Linked DNA regions of Tamandua tetradactyla. The protein of the gene in region 1 purifies or fractionates together with the protein of each later gene. This does not show direct contact. Links are inferred from orthologs where the notes say so. Each region holds a gene or a part of one and is shown in the gene's direction. Other genes may lie near its edges.

Region 1 (11,927 bases):
GTGTTTGCTAAGAGAATAAATGAGTAATTGCACACTCTTAACCCAGAATGTTCAAAACATTTTTCGAAAGTGGTTGTCCAATTTACTTATACTACAACCAAAAATACAACTGAGATCCCAGTTGCTCCACATCCTTACCAACACTTGGTACTGACAACTTAAAAAACTTAAACCATTGTGGTTAATGTGGTAGTATCTTAGAGTTTCTAATTTTTTTCTTACTTTTTTATTGCATAATATAACATATATACAATGAAAAGACAGAAAAAAGCAATAGCTTTCAAAGCACTCTTCAACAAGTAGTTATAGGACAGATCCCAGAGTTTGTCATGGGCTACCATAACATCCTCTCAGATTTTTCCTTCTAGCTGCTCCAGATTATAGTTGGCTAGAGGGTTTAAACATTTTTTATCATCACAATCGACTTTTTTTTTCTTTTTTGTAAAAATAACATATATATAAAAGCAATAAATTTCAAAGCACAGCACCACAATTAGTTGTAGAACATATTTCAGAGCTTGACATGGGTTACAATTCCACAATTTTAGGTTTTCACTTCTAGCTGCTCTAAGATATTGGAGACTAAAAGAGATATCAATGTAATGATTCAGCAATCATATTCAATTTGTTAAGTCCTACCTTCTTTGTATGATTCTACCATCACCTTTGATCTTTCCATCCCTCACTTTAGGGGTGTTTGGGTTATGGCCATTCTAATTTTTTCATTTTGGAAGGGTCTGTCAGTAATATGGAGTAGGGAGAAACTATTTGATGTTCTGGAGAGGCTGGGCCCTCTAGGTTTCAGGACTTATCTGGTCCAGGGACCCATCTGGAAGTCGTAGGTTTCTGGAAAGTTACTTTAGTGCATGGAACCCTTGTGGAATCTTTTATATTGCCCTAGGTGTTCTTTAGGATTGGTTGGAATGGTTCTGGTTGGGGTTTGGCAGGTTATGATAGGTAGCAATGTCTAACTGAAGCTTGTGTAAGAGCAACTTCTAGAGTAGCCTCTTAACTCCATTTGAACTCTCTCTGCCACTGATACTTTATTAGTTACACTTCTTTTTCCTCTTTTGGTCAGATGGAATTGTTGATTCCATGATGCCAGGGCTGGACTCATCCCTGGGAGTCATCTCCCATGCTTCCAGGGAGACTTTCACCCTTGGATGTCATGTCTCACGTAGTGAGGAGGGCATTTATTTCACTTGCAGAGTTGGGCTTAGAGAGAGTGAGGCCACATATGAGCAACAAAAGAGGTCCTCCAGCAGTATACTCTTAGGCACACCTACAGGTAGGCTAAATTCCGCTACCTACATAAGCTTCACAAGAGTAAGCTTCAAGATCAAGGGCTTGGCCTGCTGATATGGGTGTCCCTAAGGTTTGACATAGTGTCAGTGGATTCCCTGATGGTATAGTTTAATAGTTCATATTTTTTCTTCCATCCCTCAAGGGACTTTGCCAATACTTTTTGATTATCTGCTTAATATACTCTAGGATGTATCCAGGCATTGCATTAAACTATACAAGATTAAAGGACCTCTTTCTTATTCTGGGCTCCCTGTGTTTCAGTTCTTCAAATAAGCTATACAAATAGGATGAGTTAGATTATGCGCTACAGAAAATTTAGGTTCCTGACAAAATAAACCTTTCTTTCTTTGGTCTCAAGGAGTATGCGTGGTTCTAAAATACAGACAATGTGTTCCTTCCCTGTGTTCTGAATTACTTTAACCCCAACCTGATTGGCTTCATTCTTATCTCTAAATGCCAGGATATATATATATATATATATATATATATATATATGTATATATATATATATATATATATATATATACACACACACACAACAGCCTCTCAAAATCCAGAAATAATAATTACCACTCCAGACTAAATGTGCCTGCTATAAAAGCTTACAATCTAGGCCCCTGTTTTCTCATAAGCATTTTCTAAAGGTGACCATACCATAATTGTTCTTTCATTTCTGGTTTATTTTGCCTCACCAAATGTCCCACATGTTCATTCACATTGTTGCATGGCTCAGGACATCGTTCCTTTTTGTAGCAGCACAACATGTGATCATATGTATACACCATCGTTTGCCAATCTACTTCTCAGTTAGTGCATCCTTTAGCCACCTGTATTCATCAGGCTTCATGTATAGTGTCCAAAGTCCACAGTCTATCAACACTCTCTATTTTAGATAATTTCATCGTTTCCAAGAGAAAGATAACCAATAAACACACCCTCACTAAATAGGAAATCCAAACCTCCTCTTAACTCTTGTCCCTCCCCCCATTATCTACCTCTGCTGTTCTGTAGTAGTGCTCATATTTTCCTTTTAAACATAGCCCATAGCATGCAATAGCGGTTTTCCCCCTGTACCCTGAACTTAAAACACTCTTTGTACATGAATCATACCTTTGAAGTAGTTCTTGCAAGAACTCAATTATATTTCTAGTGTTAAGTATTTAATGTACCAATGATATAACATCAAGAGAAACATTTTATCCTCACATTAGCATATCAAACATTAAACATTTCCAGAAACGGCAAATACAAAGGCCGTACAGTTAGACTTTTTCAAGGAATATTAAGGAAACTAGTGCATGTGGAGCAAGGTGAAGAATTATAGCCAAGCTGTTGGAATTAGACCAGAACTGATCTCATCAGTGGGTCTCAAGTTTTGATATTTGTATGAAAACCCAGTGTACTTGTTTAAATGGAAGATTCCTAGGTTGTATTCCCCAGAAATTCCGCTTTAGTCATTTGAAGCTTGGGCCCTAATATCTAAATTTTAAAAAAAGTATCTCAGGTAATTCTGTTATCATTGGTTTTTCAGCCTAAAAGATGACCTATGCTCTTTAGAGAATAGTGCTTCTTCCTAAATGAATGTATTATTATATATTACACTGTAATTTATGAGACTATTTACTTTTTCCATTACATGATTAATGCTAAAGTTATGAATTTCTATCTCTAGGTATATGCAGCAGCACTTCACAAAATTAAAATTAAGCCCACGTGGAGAAATTTAAGACACTTAAATTTCTTGACCACTTGCAGTAAGTGCAAGGTCATGTTGTAAAACCAAGTAAGATTAATTATGGGGAAGCGGTGTAGGGAAAAGAACATTGGTGTTATTTTCAAAAGATCTGGGTTTGAGACTCAGCTGCTTCATTTTAGGTAAGTCCTTGAAATTTTCTGGGTTTCGGTTTCCACTGTGCTGGTTTGAAATGATGTATATACCCTAGAGAAGTCATATTTTAATCCTGATCCTATTTTGTGAAGGCAGTCGTTTCTTCTAATCCCTATTCAGTATTGTATGTTTGAAACTGTAATTAGATCATCCCCCCGGAGGTGTGATTTAATTAAGACTGGTTGTTAAACTGGATTAGGTGGAGGTGTGTCTCCACCCATTTGGTTGGGTCTTGATTAGTTTACTGGAATCCTATAAAAGAGAACAACAAGAGAGAAAGCCAGGAGATTCTGAGAAAGCAGAACAACATAGCCATGAGAAGCAGAGAGCCCACCAGCCAGCGACCTTTGTAAATGAAGAAGGGAAATGCCTCCCGGGGAGCTTCATGAAAGGAAGCTAGGAGAGCAAGCCAGCAGATGACACCATGTTCGAAGATATCTTTCCATGGACGCCTCTGATAGGACATTTCTACAGACTTGCTTTAATTGGGGCATTATCTCAGCCATAGAACTGTAAGCTAGCAATTTATTAAAATCCCCCTTTTTAAAAGCGATTCCATTTCTAGGATATTGCCTTTTGGCAGCTAGCAAACTAGAACAGATTTTGGTACTGAAGAGTGGGGTGCTGCTGCAGCTGCAGCTTGCAAATACCAAACATGTTGGAACGGCTTTTTAAATGAATAAGGGGAAGAATTTGGAGGAGTTGTGAGAAGCTTGATAGAGAAGGCCTAGAATGCTTTGCAAAGACTGTTGATAGAAATGTGGATTCTAAAGACACTTCTAATAAAGCCTTAGACAGAAATGAGGTACCTGTTATTATAGATTGGAAGGAAGACGAGCCTTGTTTTAAAATGGCAGATAATCTGGCAAAACTGACCAGTGGCTTTGGCTGGAAGCAGGTTTTAAAAGCCATGAACTTGGATATTTAGCAGAAGAGATCTCCAAATCAAATGTGGAAAGTGCAGCCTGGTTTCTCCTCACAGATTATAGTGAAATGAGAGAGGAAAGATAAAGCTGAGAACTGAACTCTTGGGTACAAAGAAACTAGAAGTTGATATTCTGGAAAATTCTGGGTTTCCAGGAATGGAGACCCCAGAGAATAGTGCACCACATAAGGTCTTGGCCAAATGTGAAACCAGTCAGCCATTTCAGAGAAAGCCAGGATGGGACATGGAGTTATCCAAGAAGGATTTGTGGAAACTCTTTATGTTTGATGGGCATGATCCAAGGCTACTGCATAGAAAGCCCAACAAGAGTGCTGTGGGACCTGCATAAACAGGGCCACTGCCAGACTGGACTGGGGGGTTCAGAGATGGGACACATTGAAGAAAAATAACTCGAGGTGAAACCATGGAGGCCGGGGTCTTAAGTCAAGAAGCCTCTGGCCAAGAGGACAGACCCACCCAAGCCTGTGGAGAGGGTAAGTTTGCCCCACAGGCAGCAGATGGGCCTTGTACTTCATTGTGGTGGAAGAGTCATGCCGCCTCAGGCCTTGGAGAGAGTGAAGCACATTCCTTAGGGCTTGGGGAGAGCCTGGCTGCCACTACATGGAGGGGTCGAGTGTGTGTCCCAGAGACGGCAGAGAGCACGGGTGCAGCCCCGATCCTTGGAGATGGTGGAGCCAAGAAAAAGGTGTTCTCCCTCTTATACCCCAGGGTTGCGTTGAGAGAGAGGCAGGCCTCTATGCAGGCCTTTGGAAAGGGTGGGACTGCCGCTTTCAAAAGCCCCAAAGATAAATGACTCTCAGACTTTGAAATCTTATGGACTTTGTCCTGCAGGTTTTCAAAACTTTATGGGTCTGGTGACCCCTGTGTTCCTTCCACCCTATGGAGATGGGTGTATGTAACCTATGACTGTTCTTCCTTTGTGTGTTGGCAGCAAATAGCTTGTTCTGAGTTTTACAGGTCCAGAGCCAATAGAGAAAATTTTGCCTTAGGAATGTCTGTGCCTTTAACTAACTTTGATGAGACTTTGTACTGATTTTAATCTTGTATTTGAAATGTTATTGAAATGGTTTAAGGGTCTCTGATATTGTTATGGAATGAATGTATTTTGTATATGGGGAAAACATGTTTTTTTAGGGTCCAAAGGGTGGAATGGGCTGGTTTGAAAGGACGTATGTACCCTAGAAAAGCCATGTTTTAATCTCGATTCCATTTTGTGAAGGCAGCCGTTTCTTCTAGTCCCTATTCAGTACTGTATGTTTGAAACTGTGATTAGACCAAGAATGGTTGTTAAACTGGATTAGGTGGAGGCGTGTCTCCACCCATTCGGTTGGGTCTTGATTAGTTTACTGGAATCCTATAAAAGAGAAAAACAAGAGAGAAAGCCAGGAGATTCTGAGAAAGCAGAACAACATAGCCATGAGAAGCAGAGAGCCCATCAGCCAGTGACCTTTGTAAATGAAGAAGGGAAATGGCTCCTGGGGAGCTTCATGAAAGGAAGCTAGGAGAGCAAGCCAGCAGATGACACCATGTTCGAAGATATCTTTCCATGGACGCCTCTGATTGGACATTTCTACAGACTTGCTTTAATTGGGGCATTATCTTAGCCATAGAACTGTAAACTAACAATTTATTAAAATCCCCCTTTTTAAAAGCGATTCCATTTCTAGGATATTGCATTCTGGTGGCTAGCAAACTAGAACACCCCCCAAAATTAGGAATATTATACCTATCCTACCAACTTCATAAGCTGATATAAAAGTCAAAATGAGAAGGTGGCAAGTGCTAATACAAAAGACCTAATCATCGTTAGAGGGATGTTCAGTATTTTTTACCGACACACCAGTTTGAATTCAAGAAACACTAGGCCTCAAGGGTATGTGTGTGCATGTGTGTGTGTGTATATGTGTAGTACCTTGAACAGCTTCCTACTAAAGGGTAATCAGAGATTTTAACAATGGAACCCCTTCATTTTACAGTTTAGGTAATGTGTAAGGAAAAACTTGAGTTCCATGAAGACTATAAAATTAATTTAGAGATAAGACTAAGGTTCAGGTCTTCTATTTATTACCCAAGATATTTTCCACCATAGTTTATTCAGTTGTCTCTTGCATTCTTTTTTGTAATCCATGGGTCAGATCATTTTGACACACTCCAAAGTTGGAGGACCACTGCTGTACTGCCTTGGGGGTGGGGGTGGGGCCGTAATTATTGTTTTTACTTTTTATTGGACTTATTGGTTTTTATATAAACAATTTTATTGAGGTATAATTCATATAACATACAATTCACCAATTTAAATTGTACAATTTAATGGTTTCTATCATATTCAGAGTCATGCAACCATCATAACGATCAATTTTAGAGCACTTTCATCACCCAAAAAGAAAACATCTTACCTGTTAGCAGTCATTCGCCATTCCTTCCCCCATCCCCGCTCCAGCCCCTGGCAACCACCCATCTCCATAGATTTGCCTGTTCTGGACTTTCCCTATTAAGCGAATCTACAATAGGTGGTATTTTGTAACTGGCCTCTTTCACCTAGCCTGTTTCCAAGGTGAATTTATTGTTTTAAGTTATCCGGGTAACAACAATACTTGGAACTAGAGAAAAGGACACACAATTCCACTCTAATACAATCGATATTATATATATATTGTATTCCACCACCACCCCGGAGGCATATTATATTTATCTGACTGGAAAACAAACGGACTCGACTTCCCTGCTCACCCTCCCCGCCCCTCTCCTCCTACCTTGGCTCCCTAGCTCCCAGCTCCGTGCTCCCAGCAACTAGCTTGGGACCCAAGATAGAGGAGTAAGAAGAGCCTCCGCCCACCCACGTCGGCGCGCAGTTACGTCACTGCTCCGAGCCGCAGTACTCCCTCCTTCCTTTCCTCGTCGCATTGAGTTTGACAGAGCGCGATGGCGGCTGCCGGGATTGCAGGGGTATCCGCGGCGGTGTCGGAAAAGCAAGAGTTTTACCAGCTTCTGAAGAACCTGATCAATCCAAGCTGTATGGTGCGGAGGCAGGCAGAGGAAATCTATGAAAATATCCCTGGCCTTTGTAAGACTACATTCCTCTTAGATGTCGTCAGAAATAGAAGAGCAGGTTATGAGGTGAGACAAATGGCTGCCGCACTGCTACGAAGGCTTTTGTCCTCCGGGTTTGAGGAAGTCTATCCAAATCTACCTTCTCATGTTCAGAGGGACGTCAAGATTGAGCTGATCCTGGCTGTTAAGTTAGAAACACATGCGAGCATGAGGAAAAAACTTTGTGATATTTTTGCGGTGCTGGCCAGGAATTTGATAGATGATGATGGCACTAACCACTGGCCCGAAGGTCTGAAATTCCTTATTGACTCAATCCACTCTAAAAATGTGGTTTTATGGGAAGTTGCACTTCACGTTTTCTGGCACTTTCCTGGGATTTTTGGGAACCAAGAGCAGCATGATTTGGATATCATCAAACGGTTGTTGGACCAGTGTATTCAAGATCAAGAACATCCAGCGATTAGGACCTTATCCGCTAGAGCTGCAGCTGCATTTGTACTTGCTAATGAGAATAATATTGCTCTTTTCAAAGACTTTGCAGACTTGCTTCCTGGAATTTTACAGGCTGTGGATGATTCATGTTACCAGGATGATGATTCCGTCTTAGAGTCCCTTGTTGAGATTGCAGATACCGTTCCTAAGTACTTGGGTCCTTATTTAGAGGAAACTCTGCAATTGAGTCTAAAGTTATGTGGAGACTCTAGGCTTAGTAATCTGCAACGCCAGCTGGCCCTTGAAGTAATAGTGACCTTGTCTGAAACTGCAACCCCAATGCTGAAAAAGCATACAAACATTATTGCACAGGCAGTTCCTCATATATTAGCAATGATGGTTGATCTTCCAGATGATGAGGACTGGGTAAATGCTGATGAAATGGAAGAAGATGATTTTGACAGCAATGCTGTTGCTGCCGAGAGTGCACTAGACAGACTAGCCTGTGGCCTCGGTGGAAAAGTTGTTTTGCCAATGACCAAGGAGCATGTAATGCAGATGCTTCAGAGCCCTGACTGGAAGTATCGACATGCTGGATTAATGGCCTTATCTGCTATTGGAGAAGGATGCCATCAGCAAATGGAATCAACTCTAGATGAAATGGTTAACTCTGTTTTGCTTTTTCTTCAGGATCCCCATCCAAGGGTGAGGGCTGCAGCCTGTACTACACTTGGACAGATGGCTACAGATTTTGCACCCAGCTTCCAAAAGAAATTCCATGAAACAGTGATTGCAGCTCTGTTGCGTACCATGGAAAATCAAGGTAATCAGCGCGTGCAATCACATGCAGCTTCTGCTCTTATTATTTTTATTGAAGATTGCCCCAAGTCATTGCTAGTTCTATATTTAGATAATATGATGAAAAATCTACATTCCATCTTGGTGATTAAACTTCAAGAGTTGATTCGAAATGGAACTAAGCTAGCCTTGGAACAACTTGTGACAACCATTGCCTCAGTTGCAGATACAATAGAAGAAAAATTTGTTCCTTACTATGATGTATTTATGCCCTCACTAAAGCACATTGTTGAGCTTGCTGTTCAGAAGGAACTCAAGCTTCTAAGAGGAAAAACTATTGAATGTATTAGCCATGTTGGTCTTGCTGTTGGGAAGGAAAAATTTATGCAAGATGCATCAAATGTGATGCAGTTATTGTTGAAGACACAATCAGACTTAAATAATATGGAAGATGATGACCCTCAGATCTCTTACATGGTTTCAGCATGGGCTAGAATGTGTAAAATTCTTGGAAAAGATTTTCAACAGTACCTTTCTCTGGTTATTGAGCCTCTTATTAAGACTGCTTCAGCTAAACCTGACGTCGCTCTCTTAGACACACAAGATGTGGAGAATATGAATGATGATGATGGCTGGCAATTTGTAAATCTTGGAGACCAGCAAAGTTTTGGAATTAAAACTTCAGGACTTGAAGCAAAAGCAACTGCTTGCCAGATGTTGGTTTATTATGCTAAGGAGCTAAGGGAAGGATTTGTGGAATATACGGAACAGGTTGTAAAGCTGATGGTTCCTTTACTGAAATTTTATTTCCACGATAATGTTCGAGTGGCAGCAGCAGAGGCCATGCCATTTCTCCTGGAATGTGCAAGAATTCATGGTCCAGGCTATCTTGCACAGATGTGGCAATTCATATGTGATCCGTTAATCAAGGCTATTGGGACCGAACCTGATACAGATGTCCTCTCAGAAATAATGAGTTCTTTTGCAAAGTCCGTTGAAGTAATAGGAGATGGGTGCCTTAATGATGAACAGTTGGAAGAATTGGGAGGAATACTGAAAGCGAAACTTGAAGGGCACTTTAAAAATCAAGAATTGCGACAGGTTAAAAGACAGGAAGAAAATTATGATCAACAGGTTGAGATGTCTTTGCAAGATGAGGATGAATGTGATGTTTATATTCTAACCAAAGTATCAGATATTTTACACTCATTATTTAGTACTTATAAGGAAAAAATTTTACCATGGTTTGAACAGCTACTTCCATTAATTGTAAATCTAATTTGTTCAAATAGGCCATGGCCAGACAGACAGTGGGGATTGTGCATATTTGATGATATCATAGAGCACTGCAGTCCAACCTCATTTAAATATGTAGAATATTTTCGGTGGCCAATGCTATTAAATATGCGAGATAACAACCCTGAAGTTAGGCAAGCTGCTGCTTATGGCCTGGGAGTTATGGCACAGTTTGGTGGAGATGATTATCGTTCTTTATGTTCAGAAGCCATTCCACTGTTGGTAAAAGTCATTAAGTGTGCAAATTCTAAAACCAAAAAAAATGTCATTGCTACAGAGAACTGTATCTCAGCAGTAGGGAAGATTTTGAGGTTTAAGCCTAACTGTGTAAATGTGGATGAAGTTCTTCCACACTGGTTATCATGGCTTCCACTGCATGAAGATAAAGAGGAAGCTATTCAGACTTTGAGTTTTCTCTGTGACTTAATTGAAAGTAACCATCCACTTGTACTTGGTCCAGATAATTCCAATCTTCCCAAAATAATCAGTATAATTGCAGAAGGAAAAATTAATGAGACCATTAACCATGAGGATCCTTGTGCCAAACGCCTAGCTAATGTTGTGCGCCAGGTACAGATTTCTGAAGAATTGTGGTTGGAATGTCTATCTCAACTTGATGATGAACAACAGGTAGCCTTACAGGAGTTGTTAAATTTTGCTTGAAGCACTTTAATACCACTTGAATATTATCCTCCATAAAATCAACTCCAAATAAATGTGGATGGATTATAAGTAAGAGAACTGTTTTCTCCCTGCTTAAGCAGTTCATATTTCTTCCCAGCATTTCTCCAAGATTAGTCGGTCTTTATAGCCTTCTGTTCACCTTGCATGTCTTACCTCTTAAGCCCAGAACCCTGGTGATAACCAGTGCTTCCATTGTCTTAGAATGTTTGCCCTCTTTCCCTAGTTGATATGAAGTATATAAATATTTGATATTTGCCTCAACTATTGATGCTGAACGAGCAATAGAATTGGTGTTAAGAGGGCATGCTGAGTATTGTAAAATGTTAGAGTTCACCAAGACAAGATAGAAGAACTTCCAGCACAAATATCTTAGGAATTGTGGGTGAAGGATAAAGGGCTTATTACTTCCTCCTTGATCCCAGTTGTCATGGTAATGGGAAGATGCAAAATTGAAATGTTGCAGTGGGTATGGGAAGTTTTCTTTAATTTATATGAACTTGTTCATAATGTATTCCTGGGAACTAGGTGGGACATAACCACATTCTAGTTCCTAAGATATCTAGCTAAGAGTTATGGAACTTTAAAACCTTAGCTAGTGGGGTCCCTAAAGTTATCCAGGACTCTCAAGAACCATGGTTACTGAAAAAGGGGTACAATGTTGAGTATATCTAACATTGGTAGCATGTAACATACTGTATAACAATGTTTGACAAATAATCATTAGTGTTTGTGGAGGAGTCAGTCAGTGATATGTGTTTGACCACAGTATTGCTTAATGTATGTGTGCCATTTTTCCCCCTGCAAAGCAGCTCAATGAAAAGGGAAGTCCTAATTCAGGATAAGGCTTAGATTTCTTTTTTGAAGAAATTCCTAACAAACTCTGTATAGCACTGAGGAGTATTTTACTGTGAAAGGGAAGCAAAATTAACGTTATTTTTTTTTTTTATTAATTAACGGAAAAAAAGAAATTAACCCAACATTTAGAAATCATACCATTCTACATATGCAATCAGTAATTCTTAACATCATCACATAGATGCATGATCATCGTTTCTTAGTACATTTGCATCGGTTTAGAAGAACTAGCAACACAACCGAAACGTTATTTTTAAACATAGGAAAGAAAACAATGTTGAGACCAGTCATGTAGCAGTAGTTGTACAGTATAAGAAAACATTTCTATAAATCTAAGGTTAATTATATAAATTAGAATCTTGGTTTTTTTAATGTTGAGCTTTTTGTAGGGTAGGAAAAAAGCTTTCTACTCAGCAGTTCATTGATCCAAAAATTAAAAACCAATACATCTGTCATGATTTCCTGGGGCTCTTATGAGTACTGTGTATGTGTAAAGTATTTAACAACTATTTAAAACGTAATAAGTGCACAATAAATGGTAACTGTTATTGCTGTTATTATTTGTACCCTTTATGTGTTCTTTTTTTTTAATGGATTCCTTTCACATTAGAATCTTCCCTGATTCACCCCTTTGCAGTTCCCAAAGGCAAATCACCTAGAGGCCATTGTGGA
Region 2 (12,666 bases), on another chromosome or scaffold:
GGGATTTCTGTGTGCCAGGCACTGTGCCGGTTGCTCCTCTTTTAGTCCTCTCAACATTCCTTCTTAATCCCCCTCCGCCCCCACCCCCAACCCCTTCTGGAACCTTTTACTGAGCACCAGAACCCATTTCAATCTCTGCTTGCTGTAAGCACTGGCAAGCGTGCATTTGTCAGCACGCAAGCGTCTCAGATAGTGTGTATTTTTGTCCTTTTCTTCATGCAGGCTGTAAACTCAAGGACAAGGACCATGTTTCTTTTTTTTTGCCAATGAAAGCGCACAATTTTATTGACGATACACACAAACGTAGTCTCGGGTGCATGAGGCTAACTCAGTACAATTGGTAGAGGGGGAGTGCTGTTTTTTGTTTTTGATGAATAGGCTCACCATTAATCCGCTTGCGTAGAAGAAAGAGCAAATACAAAGAAATTCAATCTAAGCAGCAACAAATGCATTTCCAGCACAAGCTCTGATGCACGGCTGGTCTCCACGAAACGGTCCAGCTTAAACAGGGAGACCACCACAGGCAGCAACTTCACTCGTGTTGCTATAGTATGACATTCTTTATCCACAGCTGGCAGCTGAAAGGACCCCTTTACCACATGAGGACAGCTGGAAGGGGGTAATTTACAATGTGCATTGCCTGCCGCCTGCAAAACCAAGAAGTTACTGAAAGCTCTGTGGGGATCCCTGCCTGGCCAGTAAGAGTACGGTCCTGGGTTTAGCAACTGTAACATTCACCCAACTCAAGGATGTGGTGATCGGCTAAGGCTGGATCTTCAGTAGCACCCTCTGCAGATTCTTTGAATGAGAATTCAAGCGAATGTTCACCAAACGGGTTTTGGGTGGATTCACTCCCTTTCTGTTTGAATTGGTCATTTAAGGGGCAGGTACGTCCAAGAGAACGTCTCTGTTTCCACTTCTGATAAAGAGGGACATGAATGAGAACAGCATTTGGGCACTGAGCAACTCCCCTGCCAAGGCTGCCTTTTCAGACAAACTCATTAGCGGTTTCAGAATCTGATCCTCAGCACATCCATTCCCCTCTGCTATCAATGGAAACTTCAAGTCTGAAACGGACTTGGCAAGCATGTGATTAATAACCGTCATGGTTTTTAACAAATTTAATCCCGCCTGCTGCAGAAATGAGTTGCAGCAATGTGACACAGTCTCCTGACACACTTCACTGATGTACATCTTAATCTGGCCCTGATGTTCAACACTCCCATTCAACATATCCAGGGCACGCACAGCCTTCTCCTTCACAGCGGTTCTGGGAGTGGGGACCATGCTTCTAGTAATTGGGAGGCTGGGCAAATCACAGTTGGTATTGTGGGTAGAGGGAAAACCAGCCTCCCTGGCCTGAGCAAACAGCATTTTTACCTGAATGAAAGGACACTTGGAGAGATCAAGAACAACACTCATATTATTAACAGTAGTACTCCAAGTATTTTTATGTCCATAGGGGGACGGGCGCTCTTTTATTAGGTATGTTCGGTTAGCTTTACCCCCACCTGACGGCCTGTCTTCGCTTCCACCTGGGGCCCCAGGTTTAATCCAATCCCCATCCTCATTCCAGGGTCGAGCCATAGTTGTGAAATCAAACCACATGTCGGGTTCCTCCTCATCCAGTGCCTCATCTTCATCCCATTCGTCTTCCTCTTCCTCCAACTTGTCACTGTCATCTCTTCCTATGGTTAGTTTGTAAACACAGTAGCAGGCACCAGCCCCGATCATCAGTCCTGCTGCCATCCAACCCACTTCCCGAGCCCGGCCCATACTTAAGTCCGTGCCAGCCTTGGGGCCGGCCAGGAGAGGGATTTGGTCAGCCTGATTGCAGAGGACTCTTGGGTAGTTTTCAGCCTCTTACAGTCTCCTGCAGCGGTCTTTTGATGAATCTATGGGTGGAAAAGTGTATTAGGGATTGTGGCTGTGCCTGGATGTGCACCTTATCAGTGTGCCCCAGTGGAAGCTGACAATGGTTTATTATTAGCAAATCATTTCTCCCTTTCTTTCTTGTACTCCCCGGCTATTCTCAGGGTCCTCTGTTTTCTCTTCCAGTTTCCACAAAAAAAGGGTGAGATATGGTTCTGAGCCATGGCAGCCAGGAGGCTGAGAGGGAGCAGCAAATCTCAGTTAATCTCATCCTCCACCACGACCCCACCCTTCAAGGATTCACAGGCAATTTCATCAGCTAACCTCTGCCAATGCCGGGGTAAATGCTTTCTTCTTCCCTTGTCTTCAGTTGTTAGTGCTCCCTACTGGGTGACAAATGGACAGTCTAGCATAGAAAGGAAGATAAGCAGTAATAGATAACTCAGTGTGGTTGATGGATTGGCACTCAGGGTACAGCTCCCAACACCTGCTTTTTTGACTTCTAGGCCCTGAGTTTAAAATATTTCCCACCCCACCCCCCGACTTTCCTAACGCGGACTTCCCCGCCCCCACCCCGCCCCCACCCCTTGCCGTCCGCCATTTCCCCAGTAAAGGCGCCACACCCCTTTTCCTGCACAGAAATGCGAGGGGGTATGAAGAAAGAAGGGGCCCGGAGAGGGCGACTCGGACCTGGCCCGCACAGATCGCAGCCCCCTTTCATCCCCGCCCAGGGTCCCGGGCTAATCCCACCTTCACGTTGTCTTGCACGGTTCCAGAGCAGTTTGCTCCTTCCCTCGTAGCAATTTGAGCAGCGAGTATAGGCCAACAGACCTACAAACCTGCAGACAAGAGACAGAGCGGACGGAGTGCTAAGTGGACGGACCAGCACCCAAGGTACCGGTACCCTAATTGAGGAATATGTCTTTCCTCGCGGTCTCTGTAACCGCCACCTACTGCCCCCATCCCCTCCCCCGCTCGAAGCCCGCCAGTTCTCTACTCAAATGGGCAGAGGACACGGGATGGGAGGGGGTATTTAGAAAGTAGGCGAGGAGGGGACAGAGCCCCGATTGGCCCAAACCACGGCGCTCCTGTCCCTCTCCCACCCCCACCTCTCACCAAGCAGCGCCCACCTTCACACCGACCTGCACGTTGCGGACTAGTTTCTTTCTTCGTTCACCCGCTTGCAGAGTGATAGGGGACTGGTTCCCAGACGGAGGCGACGAGCAGGACTTCTGCTCTAGTCAGCTCTTGGTCACGTGACGATCACGTCACCAGCCCTGGCCCCCAATTTCCACTCCCACAAACAGTGCGGCAGGCGCCAGCCCGCCCCGTATCTCCCTCAGTCACACTGGGCCCTGTCACTCTTTTTCTCTTAAACAATACCAGACACCAGAGGTGGTCACGTCTTTTTGGAACTTGAATTTGCCTTTCTGTAATTACAGGAAGGGGCAGCATTTTTTCCTGGGACTACCGTTCACTTATGCTTCTTGATGAATTCTCTCACTGGTTACTAGGCACCGAAACTCCTGCAGCCCACTTCGAATTTTTACCCCTTCCCATATACATTCTCTGCACCAAAATAGAGGGTGGGAAGTGGTCAAAAGGAAGCCCAAGTATTAGTGAGAATTTAATTAATATTTTTATATATTTATGCTTTATTTCATTTTTCTTTCTTTTTTTACTGACTTGTTACACTATATTGCAATCAGAAAATACAATAAAACCATTTTCATTTGGGGAAAACTGGATTCAAGTAAAATGAAAAAAAGTATATAAGATATCTCCCCAATAGGGAGGCCTCATTGACTGAGTTAATTTATACCACATTGGAAATATTTTCTTCTGACTGCATTGGAAATACAAGTTTCATACAGCGCATTATAATTAAAACGAAAAACCCTTAAAAACAAAACCAGTGCGCTTTCAATGTCATTTATAAAATGATGGACAAATTAATATATATTGACAAGGTAATGTTCTAATCATGACCATCTAAAATAAACGAACCACTGTGCCTTTCTGTCTTCTGGCTGAACTTATGGTATTAGATGTCAATCTTCGAGATCTTCATGGACAACTCTTGGATGTCTTCCACTCTGACTTCAAAAGACAAACTTTATGAAGACCTCCAATTCAGGGTGAATGTAGCATCTTACAAGTTCAGTATCTCCACAGATGAGCCTATTTTCCATTCAGAGAGGTTTATTTAAACTCCATTAAGAAATTTCATGATGCAACCCATAAATCATTCAGAAATTAGAAAAATCTTTGCCATCCCCCAATGAAATGAGGCTTATCAGGTGGGCTTTCCCTTCCATCGTGGTGCTGGTGAGATCTTTCCGGTATGGGTCATTTATGTACCGCACTTCACATCACCTCAGCAGTGGCTGGTATTCAGCATTTTCCGGTGGGTACAATGGTGAGGGTCTGTGTGTGACCACGAACCACTGCAATACCCCTTTTATGTTCGTGTCATTTTCCCCTCACAAATAAGAGTGTGTACAGGATCCCAAGCACTCATAGGGATAAAAAAACCTTTCCATTCCCTGTCTTCTGTTCCAGTCTCATTGCACTACCTGTACAAGCCTCTCAGAATCATCTCAGAACTGAGGGACGAAGTGTGTAGAATTAAGTCCTCAGATATCCACCTGTCCTTGTCAGGGAGTCATAGTCTAAATATAGATCTTTTAGGCAGCCATTCTATCAGAACATTGAAATATGACACCCCAGTCAGAGGCTCACCCTGTGAGGGGCCCTTGTGCAGGGCAGGCTCTTCCCAGAGGTGAGCCAGGGAGACTAGAGAGGCTTGCTGGTGAATATTTGGAAGTCAGTATCATTCACGTTTTGATCTTCCCTAAACTTTTCTAGTCCAAACTCACGCACTAATATCATACCACATTTGTTTCCCCAATACCCTTACACTGTTCTTTTTATCACTCTTGATTCAATTCTGCCAGACAAATGAATTCCATTTACGAAGGTTTACTAAGAGAACTTTCAGATTCAACTGTTCATCATTCAGTTTTTGGCTGCAGGTTCTTATATAAGTGAGTTTTATTTGTTTCAAATATATACATTAGAAATAAGTAAGGAGTATGTAAAGTATAATAAAGGCAGTGGTCTTGGTGTCATAGACATGGCTCTACAGTAAGGACACATTTTCACAACACTTAGCAAGGTTCCAAGGACAAAAGCGTCACTCCAACTTCTCCTTCCTAATATAAAATATATCCCCGTCCTTGGTGTATTCTACAATTACCTCAGTGTATAACCCCCTAACCACCATTCTTTCAGTTTGCCAAACTTTTCCTGATTTGAAACTTGCTGAACTTCTGAGCATGACTACCTTTTCATTTGTCTTACCCATTTGTAATTCTGACCCACAATTTCTACCAAGGAACCTGGGACTAGTATTTAAAAATTACTTTGCTCTCCATTATACATCTACCAACAAATATTTATTTAAGGCCATGTTATGTGCCTTGCATACTATTTCAAAAATGAAAAAATAAAATCCTTAAACAGTTCTCCAGGTAAGCTTGCTGAAAGTTCCTGACCTGTAAAAGACTACGTGAAACCACAGCTAGAAGGAAGCTTTTGGCATAAATCAGTATCGGTCAAATGTGATTATAAAATGTCCCCAAACAAACAAACAAAAAGAGATCAGTAGATAGTAACACTGATGGAATTGCAGAAGGTAAGAAAAATAAATTATAGAGGATTGTTATTTTGATAAGCTGTATTACTTTTTGTATTATAATGCTGTTCTTAGTTAAGGTTCTTTGCTTGCAAGCATCAGAAAGCAAGCCTGGTTAACTTAAGCAGTAAGGGAATGCTGGAGACCAGGATGTTCTCTGAGAGGTCTAGGTAGCAGAAATTGATATGTGCCAGAATTCCATCAATTTTCAGATTTTTTTTCCTCTGCCCAAGATTCAAATTTAAGAGAGCATATGGTTGGCTTCTTTTGGGTCATATACCTGCCCTTTAGCTGGGGAAAATATGAGTATACAAAATGTAAAATGAATTTCCTTTCTTTTCCCAAAGAGAAATGTAAACTGTTCCAGCTCTTTTTGTTGTTGATTTGTATGCGCTCTTTCAGTACTTTGACTGAGGTGCTGGGAGACTATTGACTATAGTGTGTTTTAGTTATAATTTCCCCTTAACTGAACATTTGAGAGCTGCAGCTCTCAAATGCTGATGCACAGAGTTGTTCGAGCCAAGGCCAGGTGGCTTCCCTGACAGGATTCCACAACATTACATCTACAGTGCAGGGTCTTGTCCTCAGCACGGTATGATCAATCTTTGATTGTGTCTATACTCTGAGAACAGATGCCTCAGTCAAATCATTCACAGAGGTGTACATATAAATCTAGATCAAAATGCTTAAACCCAGGGATCTCTGCATTCCCTCCCTGTAAGTTGGCCAGAGGTAAGCTAAATCTCAACAGAATTGCCAATTGAAGAATTTGCCTGAGAAATACAACTGTCAGGCATACTGAAGGTTTCTGTCAGTCTTACTAAACACCCTCTTCCTATAGATAAACTACTACTTGGGAAGTTACAGCCTCAAAAGGTCACATAGTGAGCTTGAAATCAGAACAAGGGTGGTTGGCTCACCTTAGGAAGTGGCTTTCAGCTAAGGAAGCTGGGGATGGTGCTGCCAAGGAAAGTTAAATATTCCATTCATCCTAGTGAAAACTCCCTCTCTCCAGACAGTGCTTGGTTAAGAACAACCAAAACTTTCCAGTCTCTTCCTTTTGTATATTTCTCTGCTTGAATAAGCCCCTTGCACAATCTTTCTCTAATCACAGAATCGTCTAGTTGACTTGGTTTGCTTAATTTCAATCATACCCTAGTACTGCCTCCCAGAGTTTGATCAGATATGAATTTCCTTGGAGATTTTCCTGTTGTCAAACTCCCCAGTCTGTAGATTTATTCTTGTACTGACTATGGAAATAACAGCCTTAAATCCAAACTTTTAAGGAGTATCCCACTGCAGACCCTGTGTTCTGACATTATTTTAATACTTCTCCACTTAAATATAGATAACTAATTGGTGACAGGAGTTTCATCAAGCTCATCACACCAGTCAATGGAATGGTTTCAAAGTAATCACTACGGGCAGAGTTTAGCCAATTTTGTCTTGTTCTCAATGTTCCACTAATCCCTAGTTCATTTACAGATGATATTAGCTGTTTGTACCCAGACACATTTTGTAATATTCTTTTTATGTCACTAATTTTGTCAGTCGCATGACTTTTTATCTTACAGATACCAACCAAGTAGTTATAATTTCTACTCAATCTTTTCTGTTTTACTGGGTTTTGAGGGCTCAATGCTTCTTGTTTGTTAAAAGATGCAGGTGGAAGTCTATAGCTATCTTATTTAGAAGACTGACCTTAGCCAAAAGATTTACAAATTTGGGGGCACACTGATTAGCCCTTTCAGGGTTGTATTATGTGCCAGGACCCAGAAAACATTAAGACTGCTTCGAGTGAAGTGTGGGAATGTGGGATTTTTAGAGGCTTGATAGCACTTAAGATCAATCTTCCACCTCCTCATTTTTGTTACCCAAATGAAAATAGATTTATGGTATTTTTTCTCATAAAAAGAATGCAGGTTGGGAAGGGGGAGGGGTCAGAGCAAAAACAAAACAACAAAACTACATTAAGAAGGTAAAAACCAAACTCTCACTCCAGGCCTCCTTTTTGATGACTTGTTCATGTCAGATCTAGGAGTAGATTTCAGAGGAAATGGTAGACATTAATAGCAAGGAGAGGGGGTGGAGGGAAAGGCTGCTATCCCAAGAGCTTAGGGAAGGAAAAGGCAATTTTTCAAAAAAGTTCAAGTGGCCAGTACACCCAGGGCAAGATGCTGTCCCTTTCTGGTAATCAGAGGAGGGCAGATACAACCACAGAGAGATGGGATTATGAAGAGAAAAGAGTGACAAGGCCGGGTATGGGGGAGGGAATGGATGGGGGCGGGCCCTCTTCTGCCGCACTGCTGGTGGGAGGGGAAATTGGGGACCCGAGTTAGTGGATGACGTAGATATCACGTGATCAAGAGCTGACGTGTGCAGAAGTCCTTCTTGTCCTAGTCGTTGTTCCCGTCCGTCCGAGTACCAGCTCCCAATTGCCTTGAGGACGGGTGGGCCTGCGGCAGAGGGAAGAAGGAGGAGGAGGAGAAGGAAATCGTCCCGGATCCCTGCAGGTCAGTGCCTGAGAAATTCCATAAGGTGGAGGTGGTAGAAGACGCAGGGCGGAGACCGTCGCGAGTCCTGGGGCGCCTCCATCGGTCTCTCCCATTCGCCGCCGGCTTTCCAAGACTTAAGTCCTGCCTGCAGCCTATTTCATTGCTGCGAAACGGTGAGCAGGGAGTGTTTGGGGAGGAGCCTAGAGACCGGGAGGTGGGAATATGTTGGGATCTGAGGCCCACAATCCGGAAAGGGAGCTGTGGCCTGGGTGTTGGCTCCCCAGTTCACCAAGTCGGTGCTGGAGGGGAAAGGTCGGGAATGGGGAGGGAGATGAGGTGCAACGAGTGTGTCAGTGGAACCTCAAGAGGGTTAACAAAGATGGGAAACCTTTAAAAACCGAGCCTCGGAATTAGGTAAGTTTTCGTGTTCTGGGAACTGGTCTGTCCACCAAAAGCTCAGTAGCAGCTGTTTCCCATCCTTCTGCTTTTGGCTGTATCTTCTTGACTGTGGTCTGGGTCTAGTGGGTACGAGCCTTTCCTGGGTGGCCAGTCTTTCTGTAGGTTGCTGTATGACGCCAGGCAAGAGAAGAGGAAGGAAATTAAACCCTATCGGTGAAGGTCGATTTGAGGGTAAGACCATCTGGGCACCCCAGGAGGGGCGGGAGTGGAAGTGGGGAGAAAACAGAGATGTAATAATTTAGGTTCTCCTCTGAGTCTGAGTGCGTTTCTCACATTCCCCCAAATGTGGCGAAATGGCTGCGTTGAGGGGAGGAAAAGGATGACAGGAGAGATATCTATCAGATAGTTTGTTCACAATTCTCTCTCATCCAGAGTTAGTCTCCATGTTTTCAATCTGTCATCCTGCAGGTTTGCTGTAGCAGGTGGCACCACTTGAAGCAGGGAGGAAGTTTCCCCGGAGCTGTAGAGGTCGGTGTGCCTGTGGGGGCTGCCTGGAATCGGGGAGGGGACAGAGATCAGCTGAGGTTTGGATGGGCTCACCCACTCCTACCTTATTTTCCTTACATCCTTCCCATTTCAAGCGAAGGAGGAAACAGGCATGTGCATATTTTTGATGGGCTAGAGGGACTGAGAGTTTAAAGAAAAACAACAAGAAAACCCCTGACAACGGGATCATGAATCAGGGAAGCAACACATGAACAGTCACTTAGGCATTTTTCAAGCCCTTAGTCCTCACTGCTCTGGTCTCTCTGCAGATCCGAAAGGTTGTTGGGTGTGGCAACTTCCAGGGGAGGGAAGAAGGAACGAATTGCCCAGTCTTGTGGAGGTTAGTGCAAGAGTGCTACTCCCTGGGGATGCCTGTGGTTGGGTGACAAGGCCCCAGCAGAGTCTTTTAACTCTATTGCCTTTGTCTAGGTTTGAGGTGGGAATGAGCTGGGGAGGTACGGAGAGGGTGAAATGAGGGGGTGGATATAAGAATTTGTTAACAATTTATAATTCCCACCAAACTCCCAGTTACTATTCTCCTGTCTTCTGTGCAACTCTGCATGGGGCAGCACAAAGAGAAGAGAAACTTCAACCCCATTTCCTTCCTGCATCCCTAGGTCCACCTCTAGTTTCAGCTGTTGTGGCCTTGAAGTGGCTGAAGACTGCCATTCTCCACAGACCTGCACCCAGGCCCACAGCCGTCTGCCCCCAGCCCAAGTGACAACTCTGTTCCTTGGTCCCTGCTATTGTCAGGGACGATTGCATGGGCTACGCCAGGAAAGTAGGCTGGGTGACTGCAGGACTGGTAATTGGGGCTGGTGCTTGCTATTGCATTTATAAGCTGACCCAGGGAAGAAAACAGAACAAGGAGAAAATGGCTGAGGGTGGCTCTGGAAATGTGGATGATGCTGGGGACTGTTCTGGGGTCAGATACAATGACTGCTCTGATGATGATGATGACAACAATGAGAACAAGGATATAGTATGGTACCCACCTTGGGCCCGGATTGGGACTGAGGCTGGGACCAGAGCTAGGGCTAGGGCAAGGGCCAGGGCCACCCGAGCACGTCGTGCTGTCCAGAAACGAGCTTCTCCCAATTCAGATGATACTATTTTGTCTCCTCAAGAGCTGCAGAAAGTTCTTTGCTTGGTTGAAATGTCTGAAAAGCCTTATATTCTTGAAGCAGCTTTAATTGCTCTGGGTAACAATGCTGCGTATGCATTTAACAGAGATATTATTCGTGATCTGGGTGGCCTCCCAATTGTTGCAAAGATTCTCAATACTCGGGATCCCATAGTTAAGGAGAAAGCTTTAATTGTTCTAAATAACTTGAGTGTGAATGCTGAAAATCAGCGCAGACTTAAGATATACATGAATCAAGTGTGTGATGACACAATTACTTCTCGCTTGAACTCATCTGTGCAGCTGGCTGGACTAAGATTGCTTACAAATATGACTGTTACCAATGAGTATCAGCACATGCTTGCCAATTCCATTACAGACTTTTTTCGTTTATTTTCAGCGGGAAATGAAGAAACCAAACTTCAGGTTTTGAAATTACTTTTGAATTTGGCTGAAAATCCAGCCATGACTAGAAAACTGCTCAGGGCCCAAGTACCATCTTCACTGGGTTCCCTCTTTAATAAGAAGGAGAACAAAGAAATTATCCTTAAACTTCTGGTCATATTTGAGAATATAAGTGACAATTTTAAATGGGAAGAAAATGAACCTACTCAGAATCAATTCAGTGAAGGTTCACTCTTTTTCTTATTAAAAGAATTTCAAGTGTGTGCTGATAAGGTTCTGGGAATAGAAAGTCACCATGATTTTTTGGTGAAAGTAAAAGTTGGAAAATTCATGGCCAAACTGGCAGAGCATATGTTCCCAAAGAGCCAGGAATAACATCTTGAGTTTGAAGCCTAGAAGCAATACACATTGTAAACTATTCCTTTTCTCCACCTTGTTTATATGGTAAAGGAATCCTTTCAGCTGCCAATTTTGAATAATAAATTCATATTGTATCATCAATGCCAATATTAACCAAGTTGGTTTTCAGGTTGAAGCTGAATGAATGAATATTGCTACTTGTTCTGAAAACGTTTGTTGCTTTTTAGCTCACTGCCTAGATTGAAATACTTTTGCTGTTTCCTTCCACATAAGTAAGTGACTGACAGTGAACCAATTAGTCATACGCCAGCTCCATTCTGTCATTTGCATTGACTTCATTTGTGTATCATCAATAAAGGTGTGTGTTAATGCTTGAAAAAAAAGATAAAAGGAAAGAAGAAAGAAAAAACAACCCTTGTCCTTCTATTTATGATCTTTTTGGAGAGATAAGAAACATACAAACAAAAAGATAATTGAGAATATCTTGAGCACATGCTCATTATCAAATGTGCGTAGAGGAGGCAGAGGTTTCTGTGGGTAACAGTTAGTCAACTAAAACTTCACAGAGAAGGCAGCCATTTAAAATGGGTCTTGAATGGAGTAAGGTGTTTAAGGGCGTTCCATGAGATAGGAATGAGGGGGAATGGTGTAAGAAAGGCATGGAGGTAGAACTCCTCTCCTGTGGCAGTAAGACCAGTCTGTTTAGACTGGAGAGAATGGGGAGTGGGAGCAGATAACATTTTGAAGCCGTTTTGTGTAGAACTGTTTGAATATCATCCCATTGAACCTGAAAGCCACTAAATAAGTTTTTTTTTACTAGAAAGAAAAAATGGAACTTATATAAAAGTCCCTCTCTCCCCTACTGTGCCATGTCAGCAAGGGTGTCACAAAGTTGACCCTTTCAAACCCTGGTGACGGGAATGAATTTACTCTGACACAAGGTTTGTGGAGGGTCATTTAGTAATACATATAATCCTCAAAATATGTATACCCTTTGACTTATTCATCTTAAAGAAATAATTGAACAAATGGCCAAAGATTGTATATAAAAGGCTGTTCATCCCAGCACTCTCTAAAATAGTAAAAATTGAAAACAACCTATGTGTCCAGCACACTGGATTGGCTAAACAAATTATGAAATGTTCACACAGTGTATTATGATAAATATGTTTATAGAAATATGTATTACCAGGGAAAGATATACATCATGCATTGTTAGGTGAAAAAGGTAGGATAGTAGCAGTATTTATAGTATGATTCTATTCTTCAAGAATTAATGAAACACATGCTTAAATAGACATACAAAAATTCTGGACTTATAGATACCCAAGTGGTAGCAGTGCTTATCTTCGGGTGGAATTTTAATGAGTGATTTGTACCCTTTTACTTTTTATTTATCTCTGCATTTTAATCTAAAATGAATATTGATTTTAAGACATTTTTGAAGAGAAAAGTATAGGGAATGAAACAAGTGAATAGAGCATGACTGAATGGAAAAATACTTGAATTAAGAATGAGGTGGATTGAACGTTCCTCTCTGAAATGATACATGAGAGGTGATCGGGCTTGTCATGAGTATAAAATGAGCTAATACATGTAGAATACTCACAACGTTTTGGTACATAACAGTTAATCAAGAAAAGTGAACATCCTTAATTCCCAAAAATGCAGAGTTGATAGTGTTTTGGTTGACTTTTGTTTTGTTGGGGCATTCTACCATTTGTCAGTGTCATTTAATAAATAATAACAACAATAAAGGTTAGCATTTA

What was found.
Region 2: the proteins of RANBP6 (region 1) and ARMCX3 purify together in Homo sapiens (co-immunoprecipitation; 3 studies listed by BioGRID and IntAct, counting the BioPlex papers as one, with this or other methods). This does not show direct contact. The link is inferred for Tamandua tetradactyla from reciprocal best matches to the Homo sapiens genes RANBP6 and ARMCX3.

The regions. Positions count from the first base shown.
Region 1 is NC_135328.1:91,786,478-91,798,404, forward strand, and holds RANBP6 (ran-binding protein 6), read left to right. Parts: upstream 1-7,039; 5' UTR 7,040-7,061; coding exon 7,062-10,379; 3' UTR 10,380-11,812; downstream 11,813-11,927. UniProt on the Homo sapiens protein: May function in nuclear protein import as nuclear transport receptor.
Region 2 is NC_135353.1:71,882,725-71,895,390, reverse strand, and holds ARMCX3 (armadillo repeat-containing X-linked protein 3), read left to right. Parts: upstream 1-7,913; 5' UTR 7,914-8,082; exon of another isoform or gene 8,083-8,237; intron 8,238-8,258; exon of another isoform or gene 8,259-8,478; intron 8,479-8,614; exon of another isoform or gene 8,615-8,694; intron 8,695-8,931; 5' UTR 8,932-8,991; intron 8,992-9,278; 5' UTR 9,279-9,349; intron 9,350-9,626; 5' UTR 9,627-9,772; coding exon 9,773-10,912; 3' UTR 10,913-11,309; downstream 11,310-12,666. Other genes in the region: protein ARMCX6-like, read right to left, coding at 877-1,776. UniProt on the Homo sapiens protein: Regulates mitochondrial aggregation and transport in axons in living neurons. May link mitochondria to the TRAK2-kinesin motor complex via its interaction with Miro and TRAK2.